Diceros bicornis minor: one gene and its partner. The main gene of each other region encodes a partner of the protein of the gene in region 2 in a complex. Links are inferred from orthologs where the notes say so. Each region holds a gene or a part of one and is shown on either strand. Other genes may lie near its edges.

The links.
Region 1: the proteins of ALB (region 2) and FCGRT are in contact, whole or in part, in a crystal structure (PDB 6QIO), measured with the Homo sapiens proteins. The link is inferred for Diceros bicornis minor from reciprocal best matches to the Homo sapiens genes ALB and FCGRT. Residues at the interface, in NP_000468.1 of Homo sapiens: Arg105, Glu106, Thr107, Tyr108, Gly109, Glu110, Asp113, Asn133, Asn135, Gln441, Ser443, Pro445, Thr446, Glu449, Leu484, Leu487, His488, Thr491, Pro492, Val493, Tyr521, Val522, Pro523, Lys524, Thr530, Phe531, Thr532, Phe533, His534, Asp536; in NP_001129491.1 of Homo sapiens: Arg65, Glu67, Glu69, Gly72, Ala73, Val75, Trp76, Gln79, Val80, Ser81, Trp82, Trp84, Glu85, Lys86, Thr89, Arg92, Asn172, Lys173, Leu175, Thr176, Leu179, Phe180, His184, Glu188, Arg192, Gly195, Asn196, Trp199, Lys200, Glu201.

Annotation. Positions count from the first base shown.
Region 1 is NC_080773.1:24,935,383-24,951,348, reverse strand, and holds the start of FCGRT (IgG receptor FcRn large subunit p51), read right to left. Parts: upstream 5,896-15,966; 5' UTR 5,836-5,895; coding exon 5,811-5,835; intron 4,981-5,810; coding exon 4,909-4,980; intron 3,748-4,908; coding exon 3,493-3,747; intron 3,422-3,492; coding exon 3,137-3,421; intron 1-3,136. Other genes in the region: RPS11 (small ribosomal subunit protein uS17), read right to left, coding at 14,413-14,536, 15,172-15,301, 15,574-15,649, 15,847-15,966. UniProt on the Homo sapiens protein: Cell surface receptor that transfers passive humoral immunity from the mother to the newborn. Binds to the Fc region of monomeric immunoglobulin gamma and mediates its selective uptake from milk.
Region 2 is NC_080747.1:59,355,706-59,371,278, reverse strand, and holds the start of ALB (albumin), read right to left. Parts: upstream 5,684-15,573; coding exon 5,605-5,683; intron 4,885-5,604; coding exon 4,827-4,884; intron 3,701-4,826; coding exon 3,568-3,700; intron 1,913-3,567; coding exon 1,704-1,912; intron 1,087-1,703; coding exon 954-1,086; intron 125-953; coding exon 27-124; intron 1-26. UniProt on the Homo sapiens protein: Binds water, Ca(2+), Na(+), K(+), fatty acids, hormones, bilirubin and drugs. Its main function is the regulation of the colloidal osmotic pressure of blood. Major zinc transporter in plasma, typically binds about 80% of all plasma zinc.

The DNA of each region.
Region 1 (15,966 bases), on a different chromosome or scaffold from region 2:
CTATCCATTCATCCATTGACAGACACTTAGGTTGTTTCCATATCTTTGTTATTGTGAATAACGCTGCAACGAGCGTGGAGTGCAACTAGAAGATGAGTAAGTTCTGGAGCTCTAATGCACAGCATAGTGATTATAGTCAACAATACTGTATTATACGCTTCAGAATTGCTAGGAGACTAGATCTTAAATGTTCTCACCACAAAAAAGAAATGATAATTATATGACTGTGATAGACGGTGTTAGTTAAAGTTATGGTAGTAATCATATTGTAATATATACGTGTATCATTCAACACATTGTACACTTTAAACTTACACAATGTTATATGTCAAGTATATCACATTAAAAAAATAAAATAAAAAATTTAGGGGCCGGCCCAGTTGCGTAGTGGTCAAGTTCACGGGCTCCACTTCAGGGGCCCAGGGCGTGCAGGTTCGGATCCCGGGTACAGACCTACCCACCGCTCATCAAGCCATGTGTGGCCGCACTCCACATACAAAAGAGGAAGATGGGCACAGATGTTAGCTCAGGGCTAATCTCCCTCAGAAAAAAGAGGAAGATTGGCAACGGATGTTAGTTTAGGGCCAATCTTCCCCACCAAAATAAATAAATAAATGTAAAGATTTTAAAAAATTTTAAAAATAAAAATAAAATTTGAATCTATAGTTATTTCAAAATAAAAAGTTAAAAATAAAATAAAATGTCTACTTTCTAGCTCTGTCCACTGAAAAGGCTTACAATCACCAATCCAGCAGCAATAAACACCACTAGTGACTAGATTGTGGTCTCTAAATACTATTTCCCACTCAAAGGAACCAGGGGTCCACGGAGAAATGGCTCATTCCAGGACTGGGGCCGGGCAAGAACAGATGACCTGGAGACCTTTCATTGCATACTGCAAGGAAGCCATAAAAGATTAGTAGGGTCATGTGAAAAGACTCAGGAGCCAATTTGAAGACCCTCTCAATAGTGTAAGATGGTTCAATGTGAGCTTCCAAAAGAATAAGGTCTTAGGGCCGGCCCCGTGGCTTAGCGGTTAAGTGCGCGCTCCGCTACTGGCGGCCCGGGTTCGGATCCGGGCGTGCACCGATGCACTGCTTCTCCAGCCATGCTGAGGCCGCGTCCCACACACAGCAACTGGAAGAATGTCCAACTATGACATACAGCTATCTACTGGGGCTTTGGGGAAAAACAAATAAACAAAAATTAGAAAAAAAAAAAAGAATAAGGTCTTCAATGGATTAACATACATAAGATCCATGAGTTCATAGTAATACTTAAAATAAAACTTAACTGGTCCCCTTGAAAGCTGATAGCTGATGACCCTCTTTTCAGAATTCCAGATAAATGAGTGAAGAAGGTACGAAAGAATTAGAATGCCATCTTTTATGGGCTGAATTGAGTCCCCCCAAATTCATTAAGTTGAAGCCCTACCCTCTAGTACCTCAGAATGTGACTGTCTTTGGAGATAGGGCCTTTAAAGAGGTCATTAAGGTTACATGAGGTCATCACAGTGGGCCCTAATCCAATATGACTGGTGTCCTTGTAAGAAGAGGAGATTAGGACACAGACATGCACCTAGAGAAGGGCAGACCACGTGAAGACACAGCGAGGAGAAGGCGGCCGTCTGCAAGCCAAGGACAGAGGCCTCAGAAGGGACCAATCCTGCCAACAACTTGATCTTGAAATTCCTGTCTCCAAAATTGTGAGAAAATTAATTCCTGTTATTTAAGCCACCCAGTCTGTCGTATTTGTTATGGCAGTCCAAGCAAACGAATACACCATTGCTTTGTAACTCCTAATGAAATAACGGAGCAAGGCAAGGGTCACCGATGGCAGCGAACACCGTTAGGAGAAAACCTGACGGCGAATTTCATGACAACCCCTGAACCCGACGGTGCGCCAGAACAGCACAGAGACGACCAGACAGACAGGGCCCGTGCACACGGACACGCACGCCAACCACCCAGGAAGTTTTCTTGCCAGAAAAATCGAATTGGAACGTGATCAAGCCTCCACATCGGGGGCTACCAGTTTACAGGAGAAACAGGAGAACAGAAAAAGGATCACATTCAGCAACATCTCAGGGATTGAGGACAAACAACTCACTTTCCTCAAAGCAAAATTGCAAAGAAAAAAGACCCAGAGAAATAGGGCGACCGATAGATTAAAAGACAGTGAAGATCACAAAAATTAAGATCGTAAAAATTAACTCAAAATGGATCACAGAGCTAAAGGGAAAACACGAAACTACAAAACTCCTAAAGATATTATACGAGAAGATCTTGATGTTCTTGGGTTTGGTGATGATTTCTGAGATACACCACCAAAAGCACGATCCATGAGAGAAAAAGTGATAAACTGGACTTTACTAAAATCAAAAACTTCTGCTCTGCAAAAGACATTGCGAAGAGAAGGGATAGACAAGCCCCAGACTGGGAGGAAATAACTGCAAAACACATCCCATAAAGGATGGGATCTCAAATATACAAAGAAGTCTTAAAACTCGACAATAAGAAAAAGACCCTGAAGAGACAGATAGACTCATTGAAACCTCATGTGGATCCTGATTCAAACTTTAAAAACACATGGATAAGACGATCAGGGAAATGTCATCACGAACCGGGTCCTTAACCGTGTTAAGGAACGTAGTTAATTACTTGTAGGCGTGATAATGGTTTTGTGGTATTGTTTTAAAGAGCCCTTACAGAACAGAGTTACATACTAAAGCATTTACGAATGAAATCCTCTGATGTCTGGGATTTAATCAGAGGTGGGGGGGAGTGGGTGAGGTGGGAGGTGGGGGAGCTGCCCGAGCAAAGATTTAGAGGGAAGACACTGCTCATATGTGGAGTGGCTAGGGGTGCCATGTGCCTGGTGGAGGCAAGTAAAGCTGGACGGGTCTGATGAGGACATTACGCTGGGAGTACTGGGGAGCTATGGAGGGCTGTGAGCAGGGGAGGGGCAGGGGCAGCTCTGGGTACAGAAAGAGCCTATGGGCTGTGTGGAGGATGAGCTGCAGCGGGGAAACTGGAGGCCAGGAAGCCAGGGAGGATGCTGGGGAGAGGAGGAGGCCTGAGGCGGGGCCCCCGGGATGGAGAGATCGTGGTGGTGAGGGATTCGGGAGGCTGCTCACCCTTCCACTCCAGGTTTCCGCGGCCCCTCTCCAGATGCCCCAGCAGCCGGTGGGGGCAGGAGTAGAGCAGGAAGGTCTTCTCCTTGTTGATGGCGTCGGCCTGCTGCTCCCACCTCTTACCGATTCTCAGGGACTCGGGCCAGTCCCCATTCCACGTGCCCAACTTGAGGTCGAACTCCATGAACTCCTCGCCATTCAGGGCAAACTTGGCCACAGGCACCGAGGCGTTGTCAGGGCCCAGCTCACAGCCCAGCAGGCCCTGCAGGGTGTAGGGACCGGGGGCGCCTACACACACGTGAGCAGGGCTTCCGAGCCGGGGGTCCCTCCTCCCTTAGACCCAGGAGTCCCAGTCTCACCTTCTTCCTGCAAGGCTTTGAAAGCTTCCAGAAAGAGCTTCTCCTTGTTCCTCAGGTCTGTCGTCTCTTTCTCCCAATACCAGGACACCTGGTTCTCCCAGACCCACGCCCCGCAGGGCTCAGCCTGGCCACGCAGGTTATTGTAGCTCAGGTACTGCTGGGGACCCAGCCAGCCTGACACCCAGAAGGCAGGAGTCCCCGGGGCAGGGGAGGACACGGCGGTGAAGTGGTACAGGAGGGACAGATGGTTCTCTGCTGGAGAGAAACAGGTGAAGAGAGCAGAAGGGGGTGGGGGCTAGACTGGGAGCGGGACAGACACGCCGAGAGAGAGAAGACTCAACCCCAGATACAGGCGACAGACCCAGAGAGGAGGGGACAGATCCAGGGGGGGACAGACCCAGAGAGGGAGGACAGACTCAGAGTCAGGTGGACAGACTCAGAGAGGATGGGAAAGACCCAGAAAGGGTGGGAAAGACCCAGAGAGGATGGGACAGACCCAGAGAGGAGGGGACAGACCCAGAGAGAAGGGGACAGATCCAGGGGGGGACAGACCCAGAGAGGGAGGACAGACTCAGAGTCAGGTGGACAGACTCAGAGAGGAGGAGACAGACCCAGAAGGGGGGACAGACTCAGAGAGGGGGGGACAGATGCAGAGGAGGGGACAGGCTCAGAGAGGAGGGGACAGGCTCAGAGAGGGGGGGACAGACCCAGAGGGGGGGACAGACTCAGAGAGGGGGGACAGATGCAGAGGAGGGGACAGGCTCAGAGAGGAGGGGACAGGCTCAGAGAGGGGGGGACAGACCCAGAGGGGGGGACAGACTCAGAGAGGGGGGACAGACTCAGAGAGGGGGGGACAGATGCAGAGGAGGGGACAGGCTCAGAGAGGAGGGGACAGGCTCAGAGAGGGGGGGACAGACCCAGAGGGGGGGACAGACTCAGAGAGGGGGGACAGACTCAGAGAGGGGGGGACAGATGCAGAGGAGGGGACAGGCTCAGAGAGGAGGGGACAGGCTCAGAGAGGGGGGGACAGACCCAGAGGGGGGGACAGACTCAGAGAGGGGGGGGACAGATCCAGAGGAGGGGACAGGCTCAGAGAGGAGGGGACAGACCCAGAGAGGGGGGACAGACCCAGGGAAGAGGGGACAGATTGGGGGGCAGACTCAGAGAGGGGCGGACAGAACCAGAGTCGGGGCACGACCCAGAGTCAGGCAGATAGACCCAGACAGAAGGGGACAGGTGGTTCCGGGCACACGGACGCGGGAGGAGAAAGCGATCGACAATGTGAAAGGCGGCGGCGGAGGAGGCGCCGGGCTCGAGCGAAACCTCAGCGTTCGCTTCCTTCGCGGGGCTCCCGGCGGCACAGCTCGCCACCCCTCCCGCGCCCTGCGCCCCCCGCCCGGCCCGACGGCCCCTCACCTGCGCGCAGGGTCCCAGGCAGCAGGAAGAGCAGGAGGAGAAGAGGGGGGACCCGCATCCTGAGAGGGCGACCTGGGCGGGAGGGGGCGCGTGACTGCTCGGGACCCCCGCCCCGCCCCGTCCTCCCCCTGCTCGGCCGGCTCGGCCACCAGGGCTGTGGGCTCCGGGCTCGGTCCAGGCGGGTGACAACTGCGCCCGCCTCCTCAGCGACCTTTCACCCCTTAACGGGATCCCCGGTGGTTAATTAATTACAGAGCCTGCTGAGGCTGAGGTTTCTTTCTCGGAGCGCGCCCCGCCGCCGCCTCCAGCTCCTGCTCCTGCTCCTGCTCCTCCTCCTCCTCCTCCTCCCCCTCCCCCCTCCTCCTCCTCCTCCTCCTCCTCCCCCCCTCCTCCTCCTCGGAGGAGGAGGACTCCGGGGACTCCGGGCCCCCGCTCCCCTCCGCCCTCGGACCCTGGAGCCCGGGCCCCCAGCCCTCCTCCCTCGGCCCCCTCCCCCCTGGGGTCCCCCCTCCCGCGGACCGGGCGCCCCGACCCCAGCCTGTCCTTCAGGACCCGGGCCCCGGCCCCGCTTACGGCAGCCACGGCCCTTCCCGCCTGGCCGCTCCCGTGACTGGAGACCCCAGTTCCTCTCTCACATCCTGTCCGGAGACGGCTCCCCGACTCCAGGAATATCCAACCCCGCCCCCAGCTGCAGGGCACACCCCGGGCCCCGCGCCCGGCCTCTCGGAGTGCTGGTTTCTGCCTCTCTTGAAACTTTTTGTCTTTTTTTTTTTTTGTCTCTTTCTCTGCCGCTCCGATTTTTTATTTAGAGGGTGTCAGCCACCCAGCGAATTCATGACAAAGTGGAGAATAAACATTATCGGAGTTCAAAATTGGGAGATCTCTGTGGGTTCCCTTCTTACCCCCTTGTACGGCCCATGCCTCCATTAGCTCCAGCTATAATGGAAGGTCTCCAGATGCTTCTATATTTCCTCCTTCGGACTCCTCCCTTAAGTGTCCCCTTAAAGTGCTCCTGCAGTTCTTTAGTATGACCTCAGATGACCTCAATAACACAGTCCCAATATACCACGACCACGCTTGGAAATCACTCCCAGTCACCCACCCCAGCCCACGCTCAGGCTATAACGCTTCCATTCATTTGTTTTATTGTGGGAAAATGCACAAAACATAAGATCTACCATTAGTGACATGAAGTGCATTGACAACGTTGTGCAACCATCACCACTGTCTGGTTCCGGGAACTGTTCATCACCCCAAGAGGAAACTGCACACACAAACACTTAGTCCCTCCTCCCCCCAGCCCCTAACAGCTGCTAATCTGCTTTTCGTGTCTATGGATTTGCCTATTCTGGACATTTCAGATACATGCAATCCTACAATATTGTGGCCTTTTGTGTCTGGCTTATTTCACTCAGCAGACTGTTTTGAAGATTTATCCACATTGTAACATGTATCAACTTCATTCCTTTTTATGGCTGAATAATATTCCATTTTCTGGATCTACCACATTTTGTTTATCCAGTCATCAGTGGATGGACATTTGGGTTGTTTCCACTTTTTGGCTATATGAATAATGCTGCTGTGAATGTTTTTGTACAATGTTTTTTGGACTTTTTTTTTTTTTGGACAGCTGTTTTTATTTTTTTATCTTTGAGGAAGATCAGCCCTGAGCTAACATCCACGCCAATCCTCTTTTTTTTTTTGCTGAGGAAGACTGGCCCTGGGCTAACATCCGTGCCCATCTTCCTCCACTTTATAGGGGACACCGCCACAGCATGGCCTGACAAGCCGTGCCTCGGTGCGCGCCCGGGATCCGAACCCGGGCCGCCAGCAGCAGAGCGCAGGCACTTAACCGCCACGCCACGGGGCCGGCCCCTGGACAGCTGTTTCTAGTTCTTTGACATATATACCCGGGAGTGGAATTGCTAGACCATATGATGCACTAGTCAGGGTTCTCTGGAGAAACGGAATCAATAGGATGTGTATATACGCATACGGAAAGAGATTTATTTCAAGGAATTGGCTCACAAGGATCGTACAGGCTCGGCGAGTCCAAAATCTGACACAAGTGGCCGGCCGGCAGGGGACTCAGGCAAGAGTTGTAGCTCAGGTCCAAAGGCAGGCAGGCTGGAGAAGCAGGACGAGCTCATCGTGCAGAAGAAGTCCAAAGGTGGCAGAATTCCCTCTTGCCTGGGGGAGGTCAGTTTCTTCTTCTACTCAGGCCTTCAACTGATTGAATGGGGCCCACCCACATTATGGAAGGTAGGCGGCTTTACTCAGGGGCCACTGATTCCGGTGTACATCTCATCCAAAAACACCCTCACAGGTGCATCCAGAGTAATGTCTGACCAAACATCTGGGCACTGCGGCCCAGCCAAGTGGACACGTGAAATTAACCATTACAGGTGATAAATCTGTGTTCGATTTATTGAGGAGCCTCCATTGATTTTCATTACTTTCCCTGGGTCCTGTTAGGATATCCACTAACCCACCCAAGGGTCCGCCTGTCATGATACAGAAGGATCCTGCTTTCACGTCCCATGAACGCTGTTACGGCGCCTGCTGCTCTTTCCTAAAATACCCCAAGGAGGCTGCCGTGCCCAGCTGTCCCCTCCACGTCCCTTGGGATCCAGCTGTGTCCCGGGGCACTCATCCAGCAGCCCCTGGGCTCTCATTTTAAAGGCCCTCAGGACTGTGCTGGGATGTTCCTTGGACCCTGATTTAAAGTGTCACCGTCCCGTGACAACCCACCCCCCCCGGACCTGCTATACTTTTCCTTGAAGCTTGAAAACCATCCCCCTGAGGTCCTGCTTGGGTCTCACCCTAAGATGGCCCGGAACTCATCTAAATGCTCCCTGAGCCCTAATATAGTATCCCTGTCATCCCACTCTGAGGCCTGTTGCCCATTAAGACCCCGTGGCGGGGCCCAGCGTCTGCTGCACTGCCCCGGGGGGCCCCAGTGCAGCCCTCACGGATCTGCCGTAACAACCAGCTTTAACGCCGCTCCCGGCTTCCTGCAGGACCATGGCCGGAGGCCGCCACCCTGCTCCTGGGTCTCTACTAATCTCAGGCCCCCACTCTCTGCTCCCTGGGTCCCCTGATAGTGTCCTGAGACCCAGCGATAACGTCTTCAGGAGCCCACGCTGATGTCCCACAGAGTCAGCCACCCCATCCCTGGAATCCAGCTGAACCAGTCCTGAGCCCTCACGGAACCACTGCTGCCACCCACTCTGGGAGGGCCCCGAAGTGCCCTCAGCCCTGGGCCCCTCCCCGTGGCCAAGCCTGTTTGGATCCTTCACTTCCTGGTGTAAAGCTGAGCAGGGTCCCCAAACCCACTCCTGGGTTCTCTCTGTTATTGTCCCTCACCAGGCCCTGCCCTATCCAGAACCTCCCCAGGAAAGACAGATGGACAGACAGACACAGAGAGGGAGGGAGAGAGGGAGGGAGGGAGATAGATAGATAGATAGATAGATAGATAGATAGATAGATAGGTAGGTAGAAAGAAAAATAGACAGGCAGCTAGTCAGGCAGGCAGACAAACAGATAGATACACAGATGGACAGGTAGACAGACAGATGGACAGACAAATAGACAGAAAAATAGACAGGTAAGTAGGCAGGCAGGCAGACAGATAGATACACAGATGGACCAGTAGACAGATATACAGACAGAGGTAAACAGATAGACAGAAACAATTAGACAGACCGTCCAGGACCTGCCATAACCTCCCTCCCTGGCCAGAAACCTCCGTTATTTCCCAGGAACTCGCCGTCATGCCCCTTCCACGGCCCTGCATCGGACGAGACCGCTGCCCCCTCACCCAGGAGGCCCCGCTATCTTTAGACACCCTGGGTCCTCCTCTAATGGTTAAAACACCCCCCACGATTCTTCTCCATTGCCTAGGACCCTAAAATAATGTCACTAGAGTGCTGATGACAAGTCCTTGGGTTCTGCCACCATGCTCCCAAGACCCTAATGCACCGCCCTGGTGGCCCCAGGTCCTTCTGGAATGCTCACATCTTGCTCGACTGTCCTCCAGCTCCTGCCTCACCGTCTCTGGGCATCTCCTCTAGGTGTCCTCGGTCCTGCTATAACCCCGTCGGCTGTCACTTCAACACCTCTCGGGACCCTATGCTAATACCCATTGGCTCCTGTCAAAAAGTCCTTGGGTTCCTGATAAAATGTCTCCAGGACCCTGCAACACTCTCCCCCGAGTGCTCAGAAGGTCCCCTGGTTCCTGCTAAAATGGGTACAGCCTTCCCTTGTGTGGCCTTGAGGGTCGCCAAAACGGCCTTGGGGAGTCCCCTCTCAGCCCTCTGGGTCCTGCCAGGACCCTATTAGAATGCCTCTTAGCCCTACCATGAAGTCTTCAGATTCCTGCTAAAACACACCCAGGGCCTGCTCTACTGTGTTCCAGAGCCATCCAAGTGTCCTGCGGGGTTCCGGGAAAATCCATGCGCGCCCCAGGATCCTGCATCAGCGCCATCCACACACACCCCAGATCATTGTATTAGTGGCCTATCACTGCTGTAACCAATGACCACAAACTTAGTGGCTTAAAGCAGCACAAATGTATGACCTTACAGTTCCAGAGGTCAGACATCTGAAATGGTGCACAGGGCTGGTTCCTTCTGGAGGCTCTGGGGGAGAATCCATTTCCTTGCCTTTTCCAGCTTCTAGAGCCACCTGCATTCCTTGGCTCGTGGCCCCTTCCTCCAGCTTCAAAGCCGGCCGTGTAGCATCTTCTCTCCTCTCTGATCTCTGCATCCATCCTTACACCTCTCTCTAACTCTGATCCTCCTTCCCTCTCCTAAGGATCCTTGTGATTACATTGGTCCTACCTCGAAAATCCAGGATCATATCCCTATCTCAAGATCCTAAATTTAATCGTGGCTGCAATGTCCCTTTTATCATGTAATGTCACATATTCACAGGTTTTTTGGGATTACAGCATAGAAAACTTTGGGGGACCATTATCCAGCCTACCACAGTCACCAAGGACGCCCTCCCTTGCCCCTGCTAGAATGCCCCCATTCTAATCTCCTCTCTCTGCTGTCATATGGCCCCAGGGTTTCACCAAGAGGCCTCTCAGAGGTCTGCCCAAACTTTCCCCCTAACATCCCTCCTTCCAGCTTCAAAAGAAAAAGCCCTCAAGGTCCCTTAATGCCCACCGGGAACCCCTTCCAGGTGCCCTGGGGTCCTGCTACATCTCAGGAGCCACGTACAGCATCTGCTGACTGTCTCCTGTCGTATCCCCAGGTCCTGCTTTAACATCCTGCTTGTGCCCTCTAGACCCTGGGAGTACTGCTGTCAGGTCCTCAGGGGCCCACTATAAAGCAACAGAAAGCCTGTGGCAGGACCGGTTATTAACCTGTGGACCCGAAGCCAAATGAAACCCTGGGGCCCCGTGTTCCACTTCCAAGACGTCCAAGCAGAGCATTCAATGAAGCATAGGTCCCTCTGAAGGAGCTCTCACTGCGTGGGGAGCTCACCCAGGAAGCCGCCTTGGCCCCTGGGGTCTGTGTACTATAAATGGCCCCCTGGCAGCTCTGAGCGACCTGAGTCGCTGCCACCTTAACATCCCCGTCCCCTTTGCACCTACACCATAGTGCCCCCTACTGACCCCAGGAGGCAATCACACCTGAGTTCCAAACCAAATCCTGCCTCTCGCAGGTGGGCTTCTCTGAGCCTCCGTGTCTTTACCTGCAAAAGGAGGATAATAATTGTGCCCAACCCAGTAGACAGGCTTCGGCGAGTCAAAGGCTTGGCGCAGGCCACAGAGTAGGGCACAGTCGTAACTCCTGTTCCCCTTAATGCCCCCTTCCAGGCTGCTGTTCAGGTCCCCAGGGTCACACTAGATCGTGGGCTCTCAGACACCAGGCCCTGGATCTGTCTTGCTCACTCTCACATCCCCAGACGAATGAATGAAGGCAATAATGAACGACACTGGGCTGGTTTGATATGCCCCTAAAACTCTTCCAGAATGGCCTTGGTGTCCTGCTAGAATGTTCTAGAAGGATCTATCCCCACCCCTGAAACAATCCATAGGTCTCTGTTACAATATGTACTAGAGCTGGGACCTGCTGTAATGCAAGACCCGGGGCTTTCCAAGGATGGGCTCAGGGTGGTGCTAAAATATGACGGCACAGCTGTGCAAACACACACGGCAGCCACTCCAATTCCATTGCCCTAGACTCCACTCTCAGACCTGGGGACCAGGTAAATGAATTCAGCTGTCTCTACACGCTAATACTCATGGGCCGGCTGTAATACAATTCGGGTATGGCAACCCCCAGCAGGGCCTGTTACAGGCCCCGAGGGCCCGCCACACTCCGTATACCTGGGTCCCGCTACAATAGAATGCAACACTGATGGCCAGTCTGGCTGTAACAGAACATTCCCGTGGCTGTATGACAGTGCGGGGCCATAGTACACTATGATACCACCGAGATCTGCCCTGTTGTCATGTAACAGGCCTGATGCCTGCTGTCATCATACACCCGGGACCCTGCTGTGAAACTGGGGAGCTAATTTCCTTGCAGAATGCCACTGCCACCGGGGCCTCCTATAAGAGGCATGCAACAGAACATTCCAGAAGCACGTTAAAACAGACTCAAGATCCCAGGCCAAACCACCAGGGCTTGCTTTAATAGACCCAGGAGTCCACAACCATATAATCCCTCTGGGGCCACCTGGCAAAGACTCTTGTCTTTGGGCCTGTCTGAAGGGACCCAGGACCTGCTCTACCAAGACACCACTGGGCCTCTCTACAGGCTCAGGGCTCCAGAATAATTACTTTGCTAAGAAGTATCACTTACTAGAACTAGTTCTATCCCATTAACACACGTGAGCATATTTCATCCTCCCAATGGGGCAGGGAGGCAAGAACCCGTTTCACAGATTAGAAAACTGAGGCTCTGTGGCTGGGGGAGCCACCTGCCCAGGGTCACACAGCTGACGAGCCGCAGGGCTAGAATCCGGAACCGAGCCCACAGTCTCCATGCTCACACTGGGAGGATTCTGCTCGTGTTCACTGCTTCTGGCCATTCTGTGCCCTGAGACCTAGGGGGCAGGCCCGCCCTGGAGAATGCGAGGATTTAACTTGAAATGAATTCGTTCGCTCAACTAAACACGTCCAGAGCATCTACAACTGTTCCAGGCGCTGGGGACGCGGGGATCCTGCCCCATGGAGCTCACGTTCCAGGGGCCGACAGGTAAACAAGTAGGTATGCTATGTTGTACCGAATTCATACAATAACACACAAACACACCATAAACAGGTTTTACCTGACTGTGTAGGACAACGCAGCAGGGAGGGGTGAGGGGGAAGGTCGGAGGTTTTGCCAAGTGGAAGGGGGTTGTGAGAATTAGAGACGGAGGCACAGTTAGAAGCTTCCAGGCCCAGGTCCCAGGGGCGCGGGCAGGCGGAGAGGAAGGGAGGGGAGAGTGGTGGGCAGAGGGCGGAGGGGGAAGCACGGGGCTGTGACCCGGGCCTGGGATTGTATCTCTGTTGTCACACGGCTCTAAAAGGGCAGATACAGTGTCACCCACTCCTCAGGCGAGAACTGGGGCCACCTGGAGGTCTCTCGACCCTCCAGGCCCATCAGAGGTGCCCCACCCGAGACCAGGTAGCCCAACGCGGTGGGGTGCCAAGGAGACGCCCCAACGACTGCTGGGAGGAAACAGGGGAGCTGGGCTGTTGTTGTTGTAAACACGAATCCCCACCCCGAACGGAAACACCTGCGGAGGGGGGCCGCCAGAGCGGCCTCGGATCCTTCTCTGCGTCTCCATCCCCCTCCCTCTGGGGTCTCCATCCATGTCCCTCCTGGGTCACTGCTCCCTTCTCCTCTCTCTGGATCTTACTCCCCCATCTCCGTCCCCTCTCTCAGGGTCTCTACCCCTCTAGCGCGGGGTGGGGCGGGCGTGCAGGCTGACAGTCGGGGCGGTGCCCCCTCCTGACCCGTCCCTGCCCCTTCCTGCCCTCTTTGATGCGGCCCCACTTCCTCTGGCAGGAACCCCCGCCCTCGCTGGGCCTGGGTAAAAAGGAGCCACCGGGCCGGTCCAGAGGCGGCGTCCCTGGAGGCGGCAGCGGCTCCTCTCTCCTCACGGCCCTGTCTCCCAACCCTTGTACCAGTGCTGCGCCTCAGTCCCTGGTACAGGCATGGGGGGCAGGGACCTGGGGACCCCAGCAGCGCCGGGCCCCCAGGGGTGAAGCCGGCAGGATGACTCCAGCATCTCCCTTCTCTCTCTGCGCGTCCGTCTCCGCCCCTCGGATCCCAGGAGTCCTTGCCTCCCTCTCCATGGTGTTTCTCTGACTCGTCTACACCTGTCGCCCTCCTGCCTGGTGGACCCCATGCCTGTCACCTCTAACTCTGTGATGCTCAAGGTCCATCTAGGTCTGTTTCTGAAAGCCGAGTCTGTCCTTGCTTGTGGTTTGGGTTCCTGCTGTGTCCAGCTGAGCCCTCTGCTCTCTGCCCGTCTCTCTTCATCCCTGCATCTGACGCTCAAGGCCCCTCTCCCTGTTATCAGCTGTCAACCTCTCCCACCTCCCACGTTTTCCCTGACACTCAAGGTCGTTCTGTCTGGCTGTCAGAAACCTCTTTCCCTAAGTTTGCCTGACCCTGTCCCCATTCTCCCATTTCCTGTGTCTCTCCTCACCCAAGGCGCCCCACCTGGTCTGTCCCTCCCCATTCGACCCACTTCCAGGCGCTTCCTATGCACTTCTCAGCAGCCTGCAACCCCGCACTGCTGAGCTGGGTTCCAGGCTGGCTCCAGCATGGCCTCATTCTGAGACTTGCCCTCAAGGCCAATTTTCCTTACTTGGATTTTGCCAGCAAAGGAAGTTTCCAGAACCCGAAACTTAGCTCCTCACTAGGGCTGCAGGCAGAGAACCTGCCCCCTCAGATGACTGCTCATCTGTAAATGGGCCCAGTGTCCACTTAGGCAGGGGCGGTGGGGCTCGCAGGGGGAGCCCCTGCCTTACTTTCCTGCCCCACTCCTTGGCTGTCAGGGGAGACAGGGAGGCCAGGTGGAAGGGAAGACCCTCATAGCTCAGTCAGGCAGCTGTGAACTCCTCAAGCCCACCCAACCCCCCAGAGAGGCCCAGAGGGTGGCACTTCTTCCTCCCCCTCCCCAAGGAGACCAAAAGGGCCCAGACAAGTCTACAGAACCCAGGAGCCTCCGCCCTCACTCATTTCCTCCCCAGAGACTTGGGGGGAAGCGGAGGGGGGGGCAGCTCTACGCCAGGTAAAGGCCTTATTTATTCCGACACCAAGAAAGGTGCGCAGAACCGAAGGGAGATCCAGAGAGAGGGGCAGTCTTCACCCAGAGATGAGGGCAGGACTGGTCCCTGGAGGATGAAAACGAACCCCACCTTTCATGTCAACCCTTTGCTCAATTCCCAAGGCCAATCCCTCCCCCCATAAGGGCACAGATACCCTGAGCCTGGCCCATGACTGGGAAAATAACTTTATTTTGTTTGGGGGAGCGGGCAGGTGTCCAGTCTCAGAACTTCTGGAATTGCTTCTTGGTGCCGGCGGCCTTGGTGACCTTGAGCACGTTGAAGCGCACGGTCTTGCTCAGGGGCCGGCACTCGCCCACTGTGACAATGTCGCCGATCTGGACGTCCCTGCGGAGGTGGGCGGTGGCTGTGTCATGGGGTGGAGGGCGGTTCCCTCACTTCTCAGCTTTGGCTCCACCAGACCCCATCTGCCCCCCAGTCATTGTTTGTTTGTTTGTTTGTTTTTTGTGAGGACGATCAGCCCTGAGCTAACATCCAATGCCAATCCTCCTCTTTTTTGCTGACGAAGATCAGCCCTGGGCTAACACCTGTACCCATCTTCCTCCTCTTTATATGGGACGCCACCACAGCATGGCCTGACAAACGGTGCGTCAGTGCGTGACTGGGATCCAAACCTGCAAACCCCAGGCCACTGAAGCGGAGCATGTGCACTTAACCGCTGCACCACTGGGCCGGGCCATCCCTAGTCATTGTTTAGTGAGCACAAACTACCTGCAAGGCATCCAGCTCAGTGCCTAGTGAGCACAAACTATCTGCAAGGCATCCAGCTCAGTGCTGCAGAGGATGCTCCATCTAACAAAGAACTGGACGCTCCCAAGGATGGTTGCCTAGTTACAGCAGCCTCCTCACTCCCGCCTCCCCCCAACAGCTCACTACCTCCACGGGACAGCTGGGGCATCCTGTTACCCCCCAAGTCAGGTCCCACGTCACGCCTGGTCTCCCTGGGGGTCCCCCGTGCTCACCTGAAGCAGGGGGACAGGTGCACGGACATGTTCTTGTGGCGCTTCTCGAAGCGGTTGTACTTCCGGATGTAGTGGAGGTAGTCTCGGCGGATGACGATGGTCCTCTGCATCTTCATCTTGGTCACCACACCTGGGGGGGAGGGGACAGATGGTGGGTCAGGCCCCCTGGGGAAAGGGGCCACGGACAGCCCAGGGCATGCTAGGAATCGGGAGCTGCCAAGCAAAGTTCCCAAGAAGCCCTCCTTCTGGCATCAGCTGTGCCAAGCGGCTTTCTCAGCAGTGCCCGTAGCAGGCATCTGAAGACCATCGTGAGAACAGACATCATCTGCCAGTGCGCCCTGGAACCAGGAGCCTGCGTGTCCCCAGCCCTTCCTCCCTCAGACCCCAGAGGTCCTCACTCACCGGACAGGATCCGCCCTCGGATGGAGACGTTACCGGTAAAGGGGCATTTCTTGTCAATGTAGGTGCCCTCGATGGCCTGAAGGGATAAGGAAGAAAAGGGGGTGAGCCTCGAACAGGTAGTTCCTGGAAAGAACAAGGGGCGTGGCCTCAGGGACACAAACTACAATTCCCAGCAGCCCCGGGGAGCAGCCACTCAGGTGGGCAGGGCAACTCAGCTGGGGCACACGTGCGGGGACACTGGGGTCTCATTCTTTCCTCTGCGGGTCCCCGTACCTCCTTGGGCGTCTTGAAGCCCAGACCGATGTTCTTGTAGTACCGCGGGAGCTTCTCCTTGCCCGTTTCTCCCAGCAGGACCCTCTTCTTATTTTGAAAGATGGTCGGCTGCTTCTGGTA
Region 2 (15,573 bases):
AAAGATGCAAACTAAGTTTAAAATACCATGCTTTGAGAGCTCTCTCTCCGAATTTTTGGAGACTGGCGCACTTGAGTCTCTCTTTGGCAGATGAAGTCAGTACTCTGTCCTTCAAAACTGCAATCTGTAAAAAGAAATTATTTTGGAAAAATTAGAAAAGAAAAATTTGACATGTAAAAACGCTTCTTAAGTTCAGCTGAGACTATGCCAAGTTAAATTTTAGAGAGATAATTGACACCTAAATTCCCAAGCGCTCCCTATTGGTGAATAATTATTTTGCTATGCAAGGAGAGGAAAAATCAGCCCGGCCCTAGTGGAAGCCTCTAGGTAGTTAAGCACCAGCACAGAGGCATTGCCAGGGAAAAGGAAACTGAAAAGGGAAGAGGAAGAACAGACTACACTCATATCCTGGGGAATATGACTTGACTGCCTTCCTAATTTTGCATATAATTCATTTCATCAACTCTCATCACATCAATAAACTCCCTACAAAAGAGAATGCAGTACATAATAAATATTTACAGAGTGATTGAATAAATCCAGGCTTCTAGATGCAGTTCAATTCTCTACTTTGAATTCCATGACCCACCCCCTCATAAAAAAGGCTCATGAAAAGATAAACAAAAACTGTGCCCCCTTGCTGTGCAATTTTACAAATGAGTTTCCATATTTCACTATAGTGACCAGCACCGTAAAGAAAGCTAGGATATTGAGACACGTAGACAGGGATGCCCTCTATCAGATCCACTTTGGTAAACCTTAGAAGGAGGAATAGAAGGTCAGAGGCCTTTAAAAAGAGTGAAAGATCTCTGTGGAGGATAAGAGTGAGGAAGGCTTTTTTGACCATGTAAAGAAGTTTATATCAGAGATTTAGGTTCCCTAAATCTAGCCATAAGATCCTCAAAATCTGAGGTTTGATTATGAATTAGTTCTTCTATTCCTCTGGGAAATACCTTTGGCAGCAGGCAGGCAGCTTTATCATCAGCTTGGCAGCATTCTTTTAAATCGTCTCTATATTCTTCAGCATAGTAAAGGAGCTCTGGGGCATAAAAGTAAGGATGTCTTCTGGCAATTTCATATAAATATCTAAATTTTTTAAAAGAAAAGACAGTCATTTTTCTATAGCAGACAGTATTACATGAACAACTGTAATCAACCATTCTCCCCAGAGCCTCCAAAACCCAAAGACGTCTAATTTACCAATTAAGCTCAATTTGCACAAGATGACCGTGCCTTTCTTATTCTTTAAGTCAGTGAAAAGGTTAAACTTACATACTTATATATATGTTTATATATATAAACATACGTATACGTATATACATATATACATACACATATGTATATACATATGTATACACACATACATATAAAATAGTTAAATTTTGGTGACCTAATGTTATTGACTAAAATGAAATCAAATCTGAGAATAACTAAACATATATCTTCATAATATTTTAATACATGTCGATCTCAAATTTTTCATATAGATCATATCCTGTTTTAATAAACTCCAAAAGATCTTTGATCAAATTTTTTATTGTGTAGAATTGTATAGTATCAAATATTACTTCTTTGAAAATTGTCATTAGAACAAAAGCTTCCAAGTCTTAATGTTGAAAATACTTTTTGTTACAGTCATTGTTATCATGTCTTAACCTATTCCATAATTTTTAATTTTGAAGTATAACAATCCGATTACTTACTTTCCCAGAAAACTCTCTTCATCTGCCTGGAATTGGGCGCACAGAACATCAGGCTCTGCTTTCAGAGGGGGGAAGTTTGGGCTGTCATCTTTGTGTTGCAGGAAGCACTCGTTTCTCTCAGGTTCTTCTTTTGTACAGCAGTCAGCCAGTTCACCATAGGTTTCACGATTAGTTGCAACTTTACACAATTCATCTCCAAAAAGAGTATGCTAAATGGAAGACAGCAGGCTTCAAATTTCTGGGCAGTATTTTATTTTCTTTGTACCCAAAGAACAGTAATAATTTAATATACTGGTAAAACTTGGTCAGGAAATCATATAAAAATCCACATTTTTCTCAGGTTTAGAGAGTTTCCCTTGATTTGACCACCTATGTGTAATTTTCTTAAGAATTAACTGTCACACTAGTACTTACAGTGGATAAAACAGAAGGGCAAAAAGACCGTCAATGGCTTGAAGGAATGAATATTACTTCTATTTCCAACTGAGTCTAACGGCCAGGAGAGTGACCCTTATAATAAAAAATCAAGGAAAAATAATCCTCCAAGTAGCAGGTGAATTCACATTAGGGAGGAAAGTGTTCAGATAGTTTCTTATTTGATCTGCTCCTTTTTGAGAGGTCCAACTTTTCAGTAAATACTATTAAAAACTGCGCCGGCCCGTGGCTTAGCGGTTAAGTGCGCGCGCTCAGCTACTGGTGGCCCGGGTTTGGATCCCGGGCGCGCACCGACACACCGCTTCTCCGGCCATGCTGAGGCCGCGTCCCACATACAGCAACTCGAAGGATGTGCATCTATGACATACAACTATCTACTGGGGCTTTGGGGCAAAAAAAAAAGGAGGAGGATTAACAATAGACATTAGCTCAGAGCCGGTCTTCCTCAGCAAAAAGAGGAGGATTAGCAGGGATGTTAGCTCAGGGCTGATCTTCCTCACACACACACACACACACAAAAAAAATACTATTAAAAACTGAGGAGTATAACACAATTTACTATGTATTAATTAAGTTATTGTATTAAAATATAGATCTTTTTCATCCTAGAAATATTTGCCTCAAAGCACATTCCATTAAATAAATCCTTTCTGTTTCCATTAATTTTTATTATGAAATAATTGTAACTTCAGGGAAAATACACTGCTCAAGACAGAATTTAATTTTCAAAAAAAACACATTTTTTAAAATTCGTTTTTAAAGCCATAATATTGTGTGGAGTTAAAGTACTGATTCTGCCTTGAGAGACGGATACATATAGAGAGAAATAAGAGGAGGAAAGGCTTCAGTGATAAATTAAAAATGGGCTTGTTCCCAGAAAAGTATTTAGATATTGAGTGGTGAGAGAAATATAAACCTCTCCTTGTACTGAAGACCTATCCAGAAACATCAAAACTTCCAAGTCCTTCAAAATGAATGAATGCCCTGGTTTTTTATTGTATGTAAAAACGTGAACATCCCTAAGACGAGGACTATGTAGCTGTACTACATATTATTTTATCCGGGTAACAAATTAAAAATCAGTTGAGTGCTTTCTAATGATAAAAACCACGTTATAATTATTAGCCTCTATGAAAAGAAATCAAACTTCAAACTTTCAAAAGAGACTTTTACAAATGACAAATATCCATTTAAATACACTATGACTATTGTGTGTGGTCTCAATAAAGAGACGTTTTTAAAACTGTGGGTATATCTAGAATGTGTCTATCACAGAAGAAACAATGGCGATACCCACTTTTGAGCGTTGCTTACAAATATGGTCATTAGCAATAATTGAGATAACTAAAATGAGATTTTTTTTTCCTTTGAAATGCTCAGGATTACTTAGAAGAAGAAGAAATAATATTCAAAATCAGAAGGTACTTACAAGTGACTTGTCACAATTTTCAGCTGACTCATCAGCAACACATTTTTTTGCGAATTCATTTACTTCATTCACTAATTTTACATGATCTTCATATGTGCCCTGCTGTAGATACTGAGAAAAGGCAACCAGCACTCTGAAACAAAGAACAAAGAAAAACATAGCATAATAACATTTTAACATAAAGTAGGTTACTATGCTAGCGAGCAAATTGTGTATCTGTATATGTTCTATATTTTATACATCTTTCTTACTATTATCCAGAAAGCCTATTCACATCAGCTATTATCTGAGGCCTAACCAGGCATATGTGGCTTTCTAATTAAAGAAGATATGTACTTCCACCATGTTTAAATATGTGTGTGCATGTCAGTAGATGCACGCACATAGAGCAAGCAAGTCAAATGTATTCTAAATTAGATCTAATTAGAATAACAGGGGTATTACATAGGCCCTTTGACTGTTTAAAACAGAAAGCTAAAAGCACGCACACATCTCATTTAATCAGGCTGTAGGATGAGATGGACCTTTAAAAAATAAACTACTTTCTCAGTTTTTACAAGATTAAAAAAATATTATGGGCCGGCCCCGTGGCATAGTGGTTAAGTTTACAGGCTCCGCTTTGGGTGGCCCAGGATTCGTGGGTTCAGATTCTGGGTGTTGACCTACGCACCGCTTGTCAAGCCATGCTGTGGCAGCATCCCATATAGAGAAGAGGAACATGGGCATGGATGTTAGCACAGGGCCAATATTCCTCAGCAAAAAGAGGAGGATTGACAACAGATGTTAGCTCAGGGCTAATCTTGCTCCCCCCTAAAAAATATATATATATATTAAAATGCTCTCAAGAAACCACAGATCTATTTGCTAGGTAAAGGAATTTAGTGAGCTGTGAAAGGAGTCATATAGTAAAGTCTTTCCCACCATGCAGATTATATAAGAGTTCCAGAGCTACATTGTCCTATAGAGTAGCCACCAGCTGCATGTGACTATATAGATTTAAATAAAATTATATATTATCTAAATTTTTGATCCTCACTTGCGCTTGCCATTTTTAAGTATTCAACAGCCACACGTGGCCAATGGCGACCATATTGGAGAACATCAATATAAAATATTTCCATCAATGCAGAAAATTCTATTGGACAGAACTGTTCCAGAGTCTGGACCCTGATGACAAGGGAATATAAAAACTTCGGAATAATAACCAACACTATTAGAAACATTAATTTGACTCTTCAATATTCAATATTTTAACTTACAGGCCTTTGAAATGTGGTTCTCCCAAATCATTAAACCGATGAGCAATTTCACTCTTGTCTGGGGAGGGGGGAAAGGGAAAAAAAAAAGGATTTGTTTAAATTCTGAAGAAAATAACTGGTTACAATGTTACTTTTTATGTTTCTCTCCGTTTGACTTAGGTATTCATTTGTGCCAAAACATGGGGCTTTGATCACTACAGAAAATCTTAGGATGATGGTGAACTATTTCTTCTGCATTTAAACAGAAGAGTTACTCAATCACCAACGATACTATTTGAAAAATCATTAAAATCATTAAATATCTATAACTTTATATTCATACTTGGATAAGATCTAATGCTCTTGTAGTGTCTATTAACGGCTACTGAGAGGACAGTTGAAATGAAAAATATAAATACAAATTCTATTCATAAGATTAATGACAGATTTTGGTTTTGCTTTTACAAAGTAAGGTGCAGTAGATAGGCCTCTGAGAATTTGGAGTTATGAATTCTATCTTCAACTATATTCTGTGAGGTTTAAGTCACTCTGTCTAAGTTCCTTCATGAGCAAAAGGAATTACAGGTACTAAGCAATTCTCACCATTTTTTTCACCTAGGATGGTAGAAACATATTAATAAGATAACTTTCTAAGGATTCACAAATACAAAATATCGTCAAAGTCTAGAAATAAATGCTAAAGGAAAACTTACTTCTTTAAAGAAGCAGAGTTTACTGAAACTCTTTTTTACTAGGAAAATAAAAGAAAAGTTGAACAATAGAAAAACAGAATTCTTACATGAATGGCGACGAAACACACCCCTGGAATAAGCAGAGCTGAAGAGAAAGAGAAGCGAAATAAAGGTTACCCACTTCATTGTGCCAAAGGCTTGTGAGGTTGATAAAAGAGAAAAAGGTAGGAGAAATAGAGGGATATTAGGACTAATATACTTCTTTCACCAATAATTATAGATTATTAACTAGACTCATCTTTGTATTCATTGGCTCCCAACTGATTACAAAATTTACAATATTCTTGCCAAACAATTGTTTGACTAATCTGTTGCGTATGTTTGCCATCTAGCGCTGTTTTCCCCACAAGACCTTGTCAATTCATTAAAGTTATGTAAAACATCTTATCAAATTTTACATAAGAGTTTAAACGATTTGTGCCTATTATTCATTACCATGTTCTTTATCTGTGATTTCCCATTTGAACATTTTAGTTTTCAGTATTTGCAAAAAATTTAACCAAACCAATGACTTAGCTTGGAAATAAGAAGTACTAAAAGAGCTAAGCCCTGAATTGTATCTATTACTAATTCCAAGAGTGTTTTTATTGATAAATAATAAAAAATTTACACACACACACACACAGAGGGCATCCATGTCTTTTTCATTCTTCTGAAACTATTCTGTCTGAAAAAGCTGCAAACTAAGATGCAAACTAAGAAAAAGCCATAGCAACAATAACAACTAAAATGGATATTCAGAAGTTCTACATTTCCATCCCAGCTCTGGCCCATGAGTGATTCAGTCCCTGCAGTAGGATGCTTAGAAGAAATATGGGTATCTCTCATAGAATTTCCTGTTAAGGAGATGGGGAAGAACATGAATGCAAAAGACAGTAATGATGATCTTTGCATGATCATATACACAGGCCAGTTTGAGCCCTGATTACACCTCTAGAGGTTATAGAATCCTAGACCTTCTTCACCAAGCATCATATTCTTTCCATCCCTGTTTCACACGTTTTTCCTTTCTCCCTTTTAATAAAAAGAAAAGTCACATGCTCTTCTTTAACGTTATTTTGAGTTTCAAAGTAAATTTAACATTATGTCTGAAAACAAAGCAAAGATAATTTTTCAGAAATGTTTTTCCAAACTTCCTTTCCTACTCTCCCCACCCAAGATTCTGATCTCTACCTCTGAAAGGCTATTCTCTCTCTGCCCTTTCGCCCCAGAGATGAAGAACTACAAAAATTAGTGTCAAGCCAGTCATTTCATTTAATTACATAACCGAGTCAATCAAAACTGTCAGTCAAGCTGCTCTATGGCACATATAGATGCGAAGACTAACAAATACTCAACAGAAGCATTATTTTTCCTATTCAGTCATATGATGAAAGAGATACACTTTCTATGATCTTATTTTACTGTATTTCGTTTCACGTATGAGTACCAAATAGATAATCAAATACAGAAGAGGAGATGATAGATAAATAGATGATTGATAGATGGATAGATAGATGACAGAGATGGATAGATGACAGAGATAGATGATAGATGACAGATAGACAGATAGATAGATAGACAGACTAAAGATAGATAGATACACAGATACACAGACAGACACATAGATAGACGGAGTTTTTTTAAAGCGGCTCAAGGGAGTCCTGAATAATGGAGCCAGGCCACAGATGAACAGAAATAAAAAAATGTCTGCCTATGGAATTATTTCTGTTGGAGAAAACCATTTTTTTTAAGCCCAAAAACCCAGATTAGAAAAGGAAAAAGGAAATTATTCTAACTTTCTATCATTCTAAATGGAGAAAATAATTCTTTTTTTAGATAAATTATGTCAACTTTTAGCTGCCGAGAAAGTCAGTGTCCAGCCCTAAACTTTTCCTTATATGAGTCCCTACAGAAGGCTTGATCAAACATTCAATCCTTATCAGTGAATATGTTTGCATTACTAATTCACAAAATCAAACCCTTGTCACACACACATATATTTTGCGCATACTTTTTCATTTAACAAATGAAAAGAATAATATTAATCTCTCCATCTACTTTGCATTGCAATATTGTATCTTAATGCGATGGTAAATATAGGACACCAAAAAAAAGATAAAATTAATCATGATTCTAGAAATTTAGAATTGATTTTTCTATAGTTAATGAAGATCCCATAGCTTTCAAATATAAAATTTAAAATATCCGAAAGAATCTTTTCTTACAGTACCAATAAGGTATTTTGCATGTGGGTATTCTTATTAAAGATTAGTAAATGGTTGAGAAATTAAAAATTTTAATTCTTAACACGATCTGCATGCTTAAAATTCATCCTTATTAATAAGCAACCCTTGGGCCGGCCCGGTGGCACAAGCGGGTAAGTGCGCGCGCTCCGCTGCGGCGGCCCCAGGTTTGCCGGTTCGGATCCCGGGCACGCACTGACGCACCGCTTGTTAAGCCATGCTGTGGCGGGGGTCCCATATAAAGTAGAGGAAGATGGGCACAGATGTTAGCCCAGGGCCAGTCTTCCTCAGCAAAAAAGAGGAGGATTGGCATCGGATGTTAGCTCAGGGCTGGTCTTCCACACAAAAAAATAAATTAAAAAAAAAAAAAAAAAGAAACCCTTGAACATTTGCATTTTGGGGATTCCCAAAGTAAGAATTCCTACATTTTTCTTCTATTAATTCTGCATGTACATTCTATAGTGAGAAGAATAAAACCATATCATTGTTGGTTATTTCTAAATATTCTATTCTTCAAGATTTTAAACTTTTATATTTAGTTAGTCATCAAAGGACTCTGGCATAAGGGTAAATGCAAATATTTAAACCGAGAATTATAAATATGGCTTACAGAATCTGGTTTCTAAGTAAACAGGAAACTAGCTCCAATGATTTTAAAATGTTTTCACATTTTTTACGGGAGAAGTTTAAAAAGAAAGAGCAGTTAAGAAAATTATTTCATATGGAAAGAATAATAGTGTACTGATCATTTAGAAGAGAAAAAAAAATACCTCAATTGGAATGTAAATATAACTGGGAATTAAACCTGAATCTTTATTCCTGTTGTCCTGTGTTTTCCATTCATTTTGACGGGATAGAAACGGCACGGAAGCAGATAAAATATCTCTTTGGACCCGTCTCCCACTTCCTTGCAACCCTAATCATATATAAACCTATGCCCTCTACTACCCTCTGGATTCCTGAAGCTTCTCATCAAGTTGTTCAAACAGGCTTCCCTCCATCTGGCCATCTTCTTGGTCCAGCCCTTATGCCATCTCTTTCTGTGATAGAGCACTACTTCTGTGTCAGCTTCTCTTAGAAACAAAGTGAAATACATGCGTAAAAATGTGACAACAATATTTAATAATATCCTCAGTATTTTAACAGAGAGTTTCTAGAGACAATCACTTATCCCAAAGTCATTCCAAAATAGAGGTAATTTGGAGTCATTTGGAGATGAGATTGGGGGCAAGAAAACCTTTTCTTAGCACTCTTCCTACTATACTATGAACATATGCAGATCCAACATAACATGAAGGGCCTGGACAGCTTTCTGAAAAATACAGACGGGTAGAAAAGTTAAAACCCAGTAAGCATCAAACTAGCCAATTCAAACATGGTAAGCAATTTAATTTCTTATTCACTTGTGAAGGTACATTTCCCATTAAAAAATAAATTGTCTGAAATGTATGACCTTATACAGGCATTTCTAATGCAAATAAAAAATTGTAATGTGATCCAGATATCAATTGTCCCCTCATCTGTCTATGTAAGCCATCCCCCCAAAATGTCCCCTTGCATTAGTGAGAAATATCAAATTTGGTGAAGAATTCATAGACGACAAGGAGAAGAAAGTTTACGTTATAAAAACCACACTAGTGGGATGGGCCCTGTGGCATAGTAGTTATGTCCACTCCAGTGGTTCAGTGCACTCCACTTCAGTGGCCTGGGTTCACAGGTTTGGATCCCAGGCGCAGACCTACACCACTTGTCCACAATGCTGTGGCGGCAATCCACATACAAAATAGAGAAAGATTGGCACAGATGTTAGCTCAGCATGAATCTTCCTCAGCAAAAAAAAAACACACACTAGATCATCATCTTTGGCTTGTCCCATCTCTTAAGTCCCTCTCACTCCAAAGCTCCCACGGCAGAAGGGTCCCTTTTCCTGCCCTTTCTTCATGTTACACTGGGCCTCTAGAGTTTATATCTACCTTCTCTCAGATTTCCTAACCATTCACTTCAAATTTCTCAACGCTTTACTATGCAGTTTAATTCAGCTCAATGTCAATTTCCAGTTCCCAACTCAGACACACAAATCTGTATATATCTCCATATCATATGGGTCAAGTTAGATTAAATTATCATTAAGGACCCTTCTACCTTGAACATTCTGTGTTCCACATTTCCCACGTAACAGTCTTGCAGAAGGAGAAAAGGGCCTGACTGGTAGAATGAACATATCAAATTAGGGAATTGGGATTCAAATTTAAGAACTTGCTCATTGCTGAGCTGTCCAATGGCTCCTCAGGCATTACTCTCCATCTAGTTCAGTTTAAATTTTTAAGAAATGAAAAGGTCATTTAAACTTGTCTAAACAAAGTAAATAAAATGACACTTTCCCATATCTTTTTATTGTATTTCCAACCCAAGAAAAATATAGCTAATGTCTGAAATCCATGCTTAATTATTCTTTATATGTTAACAATTAGAATCTATAAACGTATCAGTTGAAAGTAATGCCAGTAACTCCTCTCTCATAAAAATAGCTACAGGTGGAAATCAAAAAATGAATTCTCTGCTGAGAGTTTAATAGTGCTCAGTCTATTCATGTTCTATATTTTTTCCAAATGTAATACAAGAGACTTACTACCTAAAAGGTGGTTAATTTAAAGTTATAAAATTGAACTTTTTTAACCTTCTGTAAAACAATAAAGTTTATATAACTAAAATATTCCTAGGTTAAAACTTTAGTAGATCAAGTCTAAAAAGTTTTCATTAAAGGATAAAATCTTTTTCTCCTCAAGGTCTTCCAAAGCTTAGAATTTATTAGATGTTTTGTAATCTCCAAGTGCCGGTCTTGAGCTAAAATTTCTCTGGCTTGCCACCTAACTGAGCCTTGGAATTTAAGTCTTGAAATTCTTGTCAGTTTTTCAAGCGTGTATGTATGGGCTAACGTGAAGAAATGAATTGTTTGATCCAAAAAAACTTGTAGCTCTTAAGAAATACATCAAATAAATAATTGGTCTATGTTCTCTTTTTTTTTGAGATAAATTAATCTCTGGCCTAATTATAATAAACTATATAAGTGTTATCAAAATAATTTTTAAATATTATTATTGCACATATAAGCATTGAATTGTTCAAAATTAGTTTTTCATTATATAGGCATTGAAAAAAATAAAATTCTTTTATTAGAATAACATTTATAGGTTTGAAGGTTATGTTTACAAAAATAGTTTATTTAATAATAATATGTTGGAATAAAAAATATGCATTCAAATAGCATAAAGAGGTAATTTTGGTAACAGGACATTGACAATGGTACTCTCTTTCCAAAATGCTTCTGATTCAGTTCTGGCATATCCAGCATAGTTCAACATCAATAGCTTAAATTACTAGACAAAATACATACAAATACTATTTCAATTAAATTTTAATTTTTATATTTACACTAGATATTCATTCATTCATTAAAATTATATAAATTAGCCTCTCAGCATTTAATGTCTTGAAGGCAAATGACTGCTATTGATGAGTCCAAATTTCTCTCTGTTGTTACATGGAAAATTGGCAAGAAATGATGCTATCTAAAAGCAAACATTGTTCTGGCATCAACAAACCCACTATTTATTTAAGAACACCGGTGTTCTTGCTGACAGGGCACAATCCGGAAAACAATGTTGCATACTTATTTTAAGTAGCACCACCTAGTCTTTCATTCATGCTCAAAATTTATTGAGTGCCCACTAAATGCCAAGCATTTGCTAGGCTATGAGGATACAAAAGGTTAGTAAAACACAGTCCCTGACTTCAACGAGCCCACAGTCTAATAGAGGAGACAGACATATAGAAAGATAATTGTAATGCAACATTGTAAATGACTGTGCATGTAGAATACAAGGTACTCCTGGAGTGATACAGAAGTAGTAGAGGAGAAGCTCTAAATCCAAGGGCAATCTCATGCATGAATAAGACATATGAGCTCTGACCTCTTTAGCTAACTATGCAACTCAACAGACTATAAAGTTTCAAACTGGCATTCTCTGGTTTCATTTTTGCTTGTGAAGGAAATTTGCCTGGAGAAATGGAATGAGTAGGTAGAGGACTGAGGGAAGTTAAGGAGGGTATGAAGATGTGTAATTTCTAAATATTTGATAAAAGACCAAAATACAGAGAGCAAAGAGTTAGGCCCCGATTTAGAAGATGATGGAACTTCCTGTAGGAGTAAGAAAGAAAAGCAAGGCAGACCGGCAGGAAGAAAAGCAAAATTTGCAATTGTTTGGATTTCCAGGCAGACCTAAGGATGGGAATGGAGAATTTAATATTAAAAGCCCCTAAGAAAGATATTATCCTTGTAGAAAGCTACAAAACTTCCATGGGGACATAGTTTATCTAAGATGATTGACAAAGTTGGTAGACCACCCAAATAGTTAGTGATGAACAGTGTTCCTGATTCAAGCTGTATTTATTTAATAATACCATTTGCTGGAAGTCTGAGAGGGCTTTCCTAGGGTTGTGACTTTTAAACTGAGAATTTTTCAATGGGCATGAGTAATGAGGGAAGAAAATAGCTGTCCAGTTACAGGGGACAGCATGCACAAATGCTTGAGGCAAGAAAGAGTATGAAGGAAAGTGAGACAGTCTAGACACAGAGAGGGGGAAGCACAGTGTGAGATGAGATATGAGAGTAGACGGCTTTGTATGTTATCTTAGCTACAGTAAGTATTTTTAGTCCTCATTCTAAAAGCAATGAGAAGAAGTTGAATGATTTTATTACCTCAGTGATATAATCTGATTTATGCTTCAGAAAGATTGCTCTGGCTGCCATGTGGGGAAGAGACTAGAGAGGACAAGAGTATATATAGGAAGACTAGTCAGGGGACTAGTGCAATAGTCCTAGCAGCAGATGATGAGATCTTGAGCTATATCAATGATATAGATGTGGAGAGAAGTGGACAAATTGGAGAGATATTTAGGGTGGTACTGGTCATGGACAGAAGCAAGAGACCTCCTTCTCTAAAATCCATGCTTTAGAAGGCCTCCTTTGGCCTCTTCCAGCTATGCTTTGCCCCCAGAGAGCAAAAAGTCCACAAAACCAAGGGTATGTGCCCACCAAAACCTATCTTCCTCCTTTTCTAAACTCAGGCACCTGACCCTGGAATTCCCTGTCCAAACAGCCCTGAATCTCTTCTAGGGCCTGAGAGGGCCTCTTACATGAGTACATCTTCCCACAAGCAGACATGTCACTTATATATTTACCCCTGGGCTTGAGAAGTGATGAAGAGGCAGATGTTTGGAGGAGATGTGGACAGAGCTGGGAGGCGGGGGGTGGGGTTTCCACATGCACATAAATGAGGCCTCTTCATAGTACAAGATGAAGCCAGAGGTGGGCAGAGAGAAGAGGTGGGCCAAGGGTGGAGCTGGTTCTCCCCAGCACAAAATTCCAAGGAGATAAAATTAGTAGGACTTGATGGATTAAAAATGAGTGATGAGAACAATAGGGGTGTTATGATGATTTCTAGCTTTCCACCCTGTACAATTCAATGATTCTGGTGTGACTCACGGTTCAAGGAGCATTGGACGAAGACCAGGGATATGTAGGGTCATTAGTATGATTTGGATATGTTTGACATCAGGCATCTTTGAGACATCTAAGAAGAGATGTCAAGTAGACAGTTATAGATACAGAGTCTAGAGGTCAGAGGTGAAGCCTAAGCATGGAATATCATTTGTGAGCCATCAAGCAGTGCAAGATTGAGATAGCCTGGGGAGAGAGTAACATGAGACAAGAAAGTTTCATTATAGTCTTGAGAAAGATCAAAGATCAAAGAACAGGCAGTAAAAGAAGAAGAAGAAAAAAAATCAAGGTTAGTGTTATACCAGGGAACATAAAAGAAGAGAATGTTTAAGGTGGAGTAAGTAGAGTTACAAATATTACTGACAGAGATAGTAGATGAGAAATGAAAAAAACACCTGTTGCATAGGGATTACTAATGTCCTTAATAGAGCCGTTTTGACAGAGTGATGAGACCAAAAACCAGACTGGAGTGGCGAGAGAGGTGAATGAGAGGTGACTGATAAATAACTGCAGTATGGATATCTCTTCCCAAGAATTTGGATGTGTAGCGGGGCAGCTGAAGAGGATTGAGGGTCAATGAAAATTTTTACTTGTGAGCAGTTAGAAGCCAAGGAGAAGGGTTCCACTGATTGTGGCTTCTATTTTCTCTATAAAGGGGGACAGTGTTGCTAAGATTGCAGGGTTGAGTTGAACATTTGAGGGAAATGGAGGAGGTTGAAGTAGTCATAAAAAATGAGGGTATGCACCAAACAGAGAGACTTATTGCCATGGGCTAAATTGAAAAATAAGGAAAGTCTCTCTGTGGCATTCATCTCCCACTCCAACCTCTCAACTGGGGCCTGTGATAATCCCTCTCTCCCATTCCACCTCCCTCTGCACTCCTCAAACACATGTCTTAGGCCCAGCACCGCACTACTCTTCTCTTAGGTTCCCCAGGTCCCCAACTGGTACCCTGCCTCTAAGTTCTATGTGCCTCCTCTCTAAAGGACACTGCATGCCAAAACTGTCATTTCTTAATGTGTGGGCAAATTCAGGTAGGTGTTAAAGATCAACAACCTTAATTAAACCCCACAAAACATAAGAGTCTCTCCTTATCTCAGCCACATGCTTCCAAGCTCCTCAACACTCTATTTCCTCCACAAAACCACACCTAACCTTCCTAGAAATAGAAGCGTTTTAGAAGGGACTGCTGTTCTAGCAGGGAATTCCTAATGGGTGGAATCTCAGACAGGTAACAAAATGAAGAGAAGAACTTGAGGCAGTGGTTCCACAGTTCTTCAAATCCTGCCATGTAGGTCCCATCCCACTAGGACAGAGGTTAATTGACCCTGTAAATAGCTGTTAGAGCCTGAACTTTGGTGCTTGAACTTTGGAATCTCTATTTGGTTGTTTAGAAACTTCTGTTTTTATTTTTTAGATCATGAGTTTGTTAGATCACTATTTTCTTACTCTTGAAATACTACAATTTATGTCCTACAGCCCCAATATAGTAAGGTCCTTGAAGGTGTAAACCATGTCTTATGCTTGCTATGTCTAACATTAGATCCAGTGCATGCATTGGATATAGGAGTTTATCAGTTTCATTGACCATCAGTTTAATTTGACTGATCAAGAGACAACTACACCCATGTAGTAAGAAGACATGAGGAACTTGATATTGTGTGTTGTTCCACATTTTTCTTTTCTCATTGGAATGCAGTCTGGGAATTAGTTTAGTCAGAGGGATAAAACGGAGGTAAACAGGTTAGCAGAAGCTGACTTCTTTCAATACTGACCAACTGAAGAAGACAAAAACATTCTAGCAATTAGGCATATTAGAGTCTATTTAAAGAGCCCAGTGATATATCCCATTGGCTCAGCAGCCACATTCATTGCCCAGAATGTTGCTCAGCTCTTAGCATGTGTCATATGGCTGGCGCTTCTTTGCCCTCCCACCGCAAATCCAAGTCCCAAGCCAATTCTAATTCCCATTTATGTTCTATTGTATTCAGTTTAGGTAAATAAGCAGAGGCAGTGCTGGAGGTTCAGATATGAAAATCTTTCCAATGGCTCAACTACCCTGTGACACAAGGCCATCTGTAGAGAAACTTGCTCACAGCCACTGACCACAGAGGTGCAATTGCTTTTTCATCAGCCATATTAAACGGATGGCTACAATAACTTAAATCAGTCCATTCAGAAGTTATTCTTTGGTTCATTTTGACTATACTTTAAAATTGTGAGCATATTTC